Danio rerio: one gene and its partner. The protein of the gene in region 2 purifies or fractionates together with the protein of the main gene of each other region. This does not show direct contact. Links are inferred from orthologs where the notes say so. Each region holds a gene or a part of one and is shown on either strand. Other genes may lie near its edges.

The links.
Region 1: the proteins of mphosph6 (region 2) and exosc3 purify together in Homo sapiens (affinity purification with mass spectrometry; 6 studies listed by BioGRID and IntAct, counting the BioPlex papers as one, with this or other methods). This does not show direct contact. The link is inferred for Danio rerio from reciprocal best matches to the Homo sapiens genes MPHOSPH6 and EXOSC3.

What each region holds. Positions count from the first base shown.
Region 1 is NC_133189.1:58,545,056-58,549,201, forward strand, and holds the start of exosc3 (exosome complex component RRP40), read right to left. Parts: upstream 2,904-4,146; 5' UTR 2,893-2,903; coding exon of another isoform or gene 2,659-2,892; 5' UTR 2,147-2,658; intron 1,952-2,146; 5' UTR 1,266-1,951; coding exon 993-1,265; intron 540-992; coding exon 388-539; intron 1-387. Other genes in the region: tcerg1a (transcription elongation regulator 1a), read left to right, coding at 3,608-3,654. UniProt on the Homo sapiens protein: Non-catalytic component of the RNA exosome complex which has 3'->5' exoribonuclease activity and participates in a multitude of cellular RNA processing and degradation events.
Region 2 is NC_133200.1:38,541,678-38,545,887, forward strand, and holds the start of mphosph6 (M-phase phosphoprotein 6), read right to left. Parts: upstream 2,916-4,210; 5' UTR 2,823-2,915; coding exon 2,772-2,822; intron 2,143-2,771; coding exon 2,030-2,142; exon of another isoform or gene 792-2,029; intron 1-791. UniProt on the Homo sapiens protein: RNA-binding protein that associates with the RNA exosome complex. Involved in the 3'-processing of the 7S pre-RNA to the mature 5.8S rRNA and play a role in recruiting the RNA exosome complex to pre-rRNA; this function may include C1D.

The sequences.
Region 1 (4,146 bases), on a different chromosome or scaffold from region 2:
TTTTCTGATCAGTAGTGTGTGTTATAGTGTGTTTTCTGATCAGTAGTGTGTGTTAGTGTGTGTTTTCTGATCAGTAGTGTGTGTTAGTGTGTGTTTTCTGATCAGTAGTGTGTGTTAGTGTGTGTTTTCTGATCAGTAGTGTGTGTTTTCTGATCAGTAGTGTGTGTTTTCTGATCAGTAGTGTGTGTTAGTGTGTGTTTTCTGATCAGTAGTGTGTGCTGGCTTGACCTGTCCTAATACACCAGACACTGTGTTTAAACACTCGTCCGCTTCACAAGTGTGTTTCTATAACTCTTATTTTCCCTGCTGCCTGTGCTGTTGAGTGTGTGTGTGTGTGTGTGTGTGTGTGTGTGTGTGTGTGTGTGTGTGTGTAGCTGTAGGTCAGACCTGCGCACGAGTCCCAGCGACACTTTAAAGAGCAGCCCGTCGCCTCCGAACACACCCATCCCGTTGGCTCTCCCGCAGCTGTCGATACACACCAGCTCCGGCTCCATGTCCTTGTTGGCGATGGTGAACTGCCCGAACACCAGATCTCCAACCTGGAGGAGCAAACAGCAGCGTTAGGAGGACTCATACACACCGAACACGACTTTGCTGGGTTGTTTTCCTCCACTCTGGGTTGATGTCGAGTCTTCATTTGTCCTCTTTCTCTGTGTTTCAGTAAATGTGATGATTTCTGCTGAATAATCTGAGTCTGACACACATTATGGGGAAATGCTGTGAGAGTTTTCATAACTCATCAACACACTGTTCACACTGTGTGTGTGTGTGTGTGTGTGTGTGTGTGTGTGTGTGTGTTCACACTGACTCTGCTTGGTTATGTTGTCTGTTGTTGCTCCATTCACTTCCATTATAATCACAGTTATTGACGGTGAAGCCCTGACAGCAGATCATCCTGCATTACTGACTGCTGCTGCTTCCCTGTGGGTCGATCTGTCATTTCACTGTTGATCATGAGTTGTTGCTGCTGGAGTGGCTCTGTCATCATGTACCTGCACGTTGGGTCTGTTCCTCTTGGTGGCTCCTTCAAAGGCCAGGTAGGACAGAGACGCCTGCTCACTTCCTCCAACGTCCACTTTGAAGACGTCTCCAGACTTTGCGGTCACGATGCCGATCACACTCTCACCCTTAGCTGGAACATACTGCAGGAAAGAGCAGAGGTCAGTCCGGAACACCTTCAGCACAGATAGAGGAGCACCACGACACATCCTGACCTGTGCAGTGTTAAAAAGGGCCAGTTCACCCAAACATGAACACTCTGTCATTTATTCACCCTTTACTTGTTCCAGACCCGTTCAGAACACTAATAAGATATTTAGAAAAATGCTGGAAACCTGGAGCCATTGTCTTCCATTTGTTTTTCCTACTATGGAAGTCAATGGTTACCGGTTTTCTGCATTCTTCAAAGTATCTTCTCTTGTGTTTGACAAAAAAAGAAACATGTAAAGGTTTAAAAATACGCTGAGAAAGGGAGTAAATATTCATTCTTGAGTGAACTGACCCTTTAAGATGACTAAAATAAATGATTTATATAGACCAAACGTAGTATACAGCTCTCTATCTCTCTCTCTCTCTCTCTCTCTCTCTCTCTCACTCATATATATATATATTTATTTAGTAGGGTTGGGCGATGTCAACCAATTTGGCAGTAGTGTGTGTTATTGTGTGTTTTCTGCCTAGTAGTGTGTGTGTTAGGTTGGGTTTTCTGCCTAGTGGTGTGTTTTTTTTTTTCCAGTAGTGTGTGTGATTGCGTGTTTTGCCTAGTAGTGTGTTCTAGGTTGTGTTTTCTGCCCAGTAGTGTGTGTTATTGTTTGTTTTCTGCCCAGTAGTGTGTGTTAGAGTGTGTTTTCTGCCCAGTATTGTGTTAACGTGTGTTTTCTGCCCAGTAATGTGTGTGTTCTGCCCAGTATTGTGTGTTATTGTGTGTTTTCTGCCCAGTAATGTGTGTTTTCTGCCCAGTAGTGTGTGTTATTGAGTGTTTTCTGCCCAGTAATGTGTGTTTTCTGCCCAGTAGTGTGTGTTATTGAGTGTTTTCTGCCCAGTAGTGTGTGTTATTGTGTGTTCTGCCCAGTAGTGTGTGTTAGGTTGTGTGTTCTGCCTAGTAGCGTGTGTTATTGTGTGTTTTCTGCCCAGTAGTGTGTGTTACTGTGTGTTCTGCCCAGTAGTGTGTGTTACTGTGTGTTCTGCCCAGTAGTGTGTGTTATTGAGTGTTTTCTGCCCAGTATTGTGTGTTATTGAGTGTTTTCTGCCCAGTAGTGTGTGTTATTGTGTGTTCTGTCCAGTAGTGTGTGTTAGGTTGTGTGTTATGGCTAGTAGTGTGTGTTAGGTTGTGTGTTCTGCCTAGTAGTGTGTGTTATTGTGTGTTTTCTGCCCAGTAGTGTGTGTTATTGTGTGTTCTGTCCAGTAGTGTGTGTTAGGTTGTGTGTTATGGCTAGTAGTGTGTGTTAGGTTGTGTGTTCTGCCTAGTAGTGTGTGTTATTGTGTGTTTTCTGCCCAGTAGTGTGTGGTATTGTGTGTTCTGGCTAGTAGTGTGTGTTAGGTTGTGTGTTATGGCTAGTAGCGTGTGTTATTGTGTGTTTTCTGCCCTGTAGTGTGTGTTAGTGAATTTTCTGAACAATAGTGTGTGCTGGCACATGTTGTGTGTGTGTGTGTTCTGACCCGTCTCTGCTGACAGTTGACCCAGTACATGTTGGGTTGTTTGTGTTTCAGGACTCCTGCTCTACACACACGGATCTCCGCTCCGCTCCGCCGCAGCCCCGGGCCGCAGATCAGCCTGTCCGCTTTCGGGTTCGCGTCTCCGGCTTCAGGAGGACTGAAGGAGAACAGCAGATCGCCTGGAAGAACCACATCTCCTATCCTCTCCAGCAGACTAGTGTGCACTGAGGAGTCCATGATGGAGGAGCGGAAAACACACACAAACACACGTGTCTGAGCACTTCCGGCACGGGGACTCTTATCCTATACAAATTAACTCATTAAAACCTCTCCAACCCTTTATGTCCACAACAGAAATATATTATAAAGATTTTTCTAAAAGCATTCTTAATATCATTCGACACCGGTAACCATCGACATCCATTATAAGAAAATAAATTCTATTGAAGTCAACAGTTAACGTTACTGGTTTCCAACGCTTAAATAACTTGTGTTCAACTGAGACATGGAATTAAACCGGTTTGGGACATGTAACGTTAACGGTTGAGTAAGTGATGGCAGGATTTATTTTAAGGAGATCTACCCCATTTATTAATATTTAGTCTTTGATTGTTTTTAAAAACGAAATATAATTAAATCGTAAAAACAATCAATAAATCAAAAACTGGATAAAGAGAGGGAGAACGTGCTAACATTCCAGCTAACACAAATCTTCCCCTTTAATTTAGGTTATTTTTGGGACTAATTAAACTAAAACTATAACTAAAATAACTTTAACTAAATAGGAACGTTCTGGTAACCAAAACTGTTGGCCAAGTTACTGGACTATACCGAAAAATGCATATTTTTTACCAGTTAAGTTAAATAATTCATACTGGAAATAAAAGTCACGATGTTTCAGAAGTTTGAAAACCGCTGAGCGGGAAATGGGGACTTTTGTGGCATTTCCGTTATGGCGGAGCACACAGAGGCAGAAGGCATCGGCCTGGCTGCAAACAGGTGCAGTTTTCGCTTTATTTTTCCCTCTCAGATAAACACAGACCCCCGGTTATCATTCGCCTTAGTTTATCCCGAAACTCCTCTGGGCTTCGTCTCCAATAAGGCAGATTTGAGTGGGTTTTAGCCTCGTCTGGCCCGTCGGAGGGTGGACAATGAAAGCAGCACAGCAGCAGTCGCCTCACTGTGTTTATATCGCAGTTTCCGCCGAGAATAAGAGCTTGAGGACACACACCGAGTCTCAGAAATAACCCTGTCAGTGTGTAGAGGGTGTGATGTGGCTGTGAGATCAGCTGGACAGTGTGTTTATGATGGAGTCAGTGCTTCAGATTCAGGTGTACTGTAATGAACACCTTCAGCAATGCAGGAGTCAGTGCAGACACTCCTCCATCATCAGTATCTGGGGTTAAAGTGTGTGTTCTGCTCGTCTTCAGCGTGTTTATGGTGTGTGTGTATCTGTTATTAACAGTGTTGGGGAGAGTTTCTCTCGAAAGT
Region 2 (4,210 bases):
TGGGCAGGATGAAAGCGTGCACACTTAATTGGCTTGTAAGACTTGTCACACGCAGACTGCAGTCATGCATTTGCTCGGGGCGTGGGAAATTAAATACAAATCTATGTCATATCGCAGCCTCTTGTGATAAGCTAATCGCAACATTTCAAATTGTGATTCGATTTATCGCACAGTCCTACTGTATGCAGTTACAAAAAGGCCTGTTTTCTTTAAAAATCAACCATCTTCAATGCCTAATTGATATACGATATAAGCGGGTCTCAGATTGTACAAGAAACACTACATTAATTTACATTTCCCCCGTCGTGTCTTTATAATATGAGCATTTATTTTACCCCAGTATGTTAAATGGAGCTTCTGCGCTAGCCTGCTGATTCTGACGTGTGCGAGTAAACAACTTTTGATCTCGTTTTGCGCTTGATCAACTAAATAAATGCTTGGGTCTATTTAACTGATTGTATTTTATTTGCAGTACAACATAGATGCTGTAAAAGGAATGGAAATAAGTAGGGGTGTCACGATTTCGATTCTTAATCGAAATCGATCGAAATTTATGCTCAATTTCGATTATCGAATTACAAAATAGAATCGTCGATGCTGCCACGCCCCGATGTCACGTCAGCTTGGCTTGCCAAGCGGGAAAAAAACAGGCTTGTTGAAGTGCTTGTTAAACTGCAGAAGCAGGAGACCCGTCGACAGAGCTTAAACCCTCTCCTCTTTCAATGAAGTCGCCGGTGTTTAAGCATTTTGGATTTCCAGTGAGTTATGTTGACAACGTTCGTGTTGTCGACAAAAAAAAAAAACACAGTTTTGCAAGCTCTGCTATATACGTATTACGTATGGTTCGTCCGATAGACAACACCAGCATCGCGATCCTCCGCCCGCCCCCGTTGCAAATCCGCTCGCGAAAAGTTCACACTCAGGCCCTGTTTACACTGTCTTTGTTTTTAAATGGCATTTTAGAACAACAACGATTTGACATCCACAGTGGCGTGTAGCATTTCTGAGCAGCCCTCCTTCCTCATTACCTCTGAAAACGCACATCACGTGACCACACAGACACAGATGCACACACAGCCATGCGCTCGAGACAGCAGGTCCAGGCAGTCAGAGGACTGCTTCAATCTTTCACTCACTTGTACTTTGTCATTTTAGCGAACACCTCAGACACTGTTGGCTGGTTCCTGTTGGTTGTGCGTCTTTTTTACAGACGCCATTATAATGACACAGATCACTGCCTATTCACGAGTCCCGCAGAAAAAGTGATTGACAGGAGGTAATTATGTGTGCATCTTGCCTTTATTCATTTACTGTATGATTTGTTTATGGGTAAAACAAAGACCATGCAGGTCAGGTAGTTTAAACGGTAGGCTACAAATAATTAATTGGTCATTAATTAATCATTCATAATCGAAAATCGAATCGTGCCTTTAGAATCTTTAGGATCGTGACACCCTTAGAAATAAGTCACATTAACTGTTCACCGGAAGTTTATCAGTATGGGAAGAAACACTATTGAATCAGTCAGGTATTTGTCGCCACCTACTGGTGGTTTTGGATCCATTGATCTAGATATAACATATTGGAAATGTCTGAATTTTATTTATTTGTTTGCTTGCTTTTGGTCAATATTCTAAACCTTTGGGATTAAATAATTTTTAACTGCACTAAAGAAAATGTTTTAAAGCGTGTTGCAAACTGGTAACTATTGACTTTCATAGTATTTGTTTTTCCTGGTTACAGGTTTTCAGCTTTATTCTAAATATCTTATTTTGTGCTGAAAGAAATATAAATTGTTTTGATTTGGAATAAATCAAAGTGCAGTAAATGATGACAATTTTAATTTCAGTGTGAACTGCCCCTTTAATTGAGTATTAGTATAATTAGGTATTGGTTTGATGTTTTTGATTGAGGCTTTTTTATGCACCAGAAATGGGTTTCCACAGATATTTGTTGTCATACACTATTTCATTCATTGGGTGTACAAGCACCGTGATAAGAGTAAAAAAAACAGTTGTTGAAGTCTCACTCTTTGGCCTTGAGCTCGGGCAGATCCAGAAACCAGTGTTCATCACTGATGATCCGCTTCTCCTCCTCATCCAGCTGCTTCTTCACCTCCGCATCCAATCCTCTCTGCATGAACTACAGACAGACAGATGAGAAGATGGACAGACAGATGGAAAAAAGATGCAGACACCAAATGACAAGCAGATGGACGCAGACAAAAACAGATTATCAGACAGATGAAAAACAGATTAAAAGATAGACAGACAGATAAACAGAAGAAAGACGTTGACATAAAATGACACATGGAGGTAGATAAAAATGATGGGCAGACAGAAAGACAAGAACAGACCAAATGACAAGACAGATGGAAGAAAAGATGGACAGAAAGAGAGACAGATAAAAAAAATAAGATGGAAATAGAGATTTATTGAAAGACCAAAGGACGAGGTAAACAAACATGAAAAGTAAGACAACAAGGCAGATGGTAAGACAGACAAGTATAAAGACAGAGGGATGAAAAAAATGGACAGAACGAATGGGATATACAATATGGCGGATAAAATAATGGACAGAGACACAGATGAACAGACACACACAGAGACAGACTGTTGTCTATCAGTCACGTGTTCTGCAGCGAGTGATCTACAGCATTCAGTTCATATCAAAACAAAACCGACCTCAAACACGAGGACATTTTAGTACGATCCCAATCACGAGCTCATCATATTCCTCCGACACTGGGAGAGTCGGCTAACATTATTTACCTTCATCCGCAGGAGGTTTTTAGACAGCTTCGCTCCACCATCGTTCGCCATTTCAAATCAGAACTAACACTACACGTTTTTAAGTGAATGAAGAGAGATAAAGCGAGCTTTTCTGACAGTTATGTCTTCCACACTGGCAGCATTACTGTGCGTAGCACGAGCTGCTAAAATAAATAGCAGTCCGCATGAACTCTGCGCATGCGCTCTAGCAACATGTGCAAGACTCGACGAGTCGCACAACACACATCCACTGACAATAATTTCAGATTTATTACTTATGTTTGAAGTATAATCGCATAATAAAGCGTTTAAGTTAATGTTAGTCTGTATTATATGGTATCGTTTACTTTAATTTGATTTGCTATATACAATTTTGTCGAATGTATCGACAATTTATTGCTTTCGTCTGAAGTGGCGCATTAACCCTTTCCTGTATGGTTAAATTTACCTAATTAAACACGCCAGTTCGTCTTCAATCACTGAAAGGAGTCATTACTGAGGTGAGTTTTTACTTTACTGTGTACAAACTTCGCTTGTTACAGTTCATTACTGGCAAATAACAACTGTAAACGACTTAAAAGTTGCTATTTATTTTCTTACTGAGGATTTTTGTAAATACAGACATTAGTTATAGCATTAAGTTGTTTTATTCATATTTATTGTCGTGTAATAGCGTAACTAACAGTTATTTTCACCACATTATAGTCAAATATTGGGTTAATATATGTTTGTTCTAAAATAATTTAATATATATTATAATATTATATATTTTAAGGCCCCTTTAAGCACATTTGTATTACTTTAGCTGAACTAAAGCACTGTTTTATATTTATTTCACGTTTTTAAATTCAACTGTGTGCTTTAAAACACTTTGCAGTGCAATTTAATTAGCTTGAAATACAAATGTGGTAATTATATGGTGTATACTGTATATTCAAGCGTCATAATTACCACTTTTATTTAACGTTTTAGCTAACACTCAGTTGAGTACAATCAAACAATATTTCAAGGTTCATTTGAATCTCAGCATATGATGATTGGGTAGCCTCACAGCAAGAAGGTCGTTGGTTCGAGTCCCGGGTCAGTTGGCGTTTCTGTGTGGAGTTTGCATGTTCTCCCCGTGTTGGCGTGTGTTTCCTGTGGGTGCTCCGGTTTACCCCACACTCCAAACATGCAGGAATTGGGGAATTGGGTAAGCTAAATTGGCTGCAGTGTATAAGTGTGAAAGAGTGTGTATGAATGTTTTCCAGTGTTGGGTTGCAGCTGGAAGGGCATCCACTGCGTAAAATATATGCTTGATAAGTTGGCGGTTCATTCAGCTGTGGTGACCCCTGATTAATAAAAGGACTAAGCCGAAAAGTCAATGATTGAAGGTAAAGTCAAGTTTCTTGGTGTTTCTTTCAGTGTTTCCTTTACATAAATTCAAGAAATCAATGGTT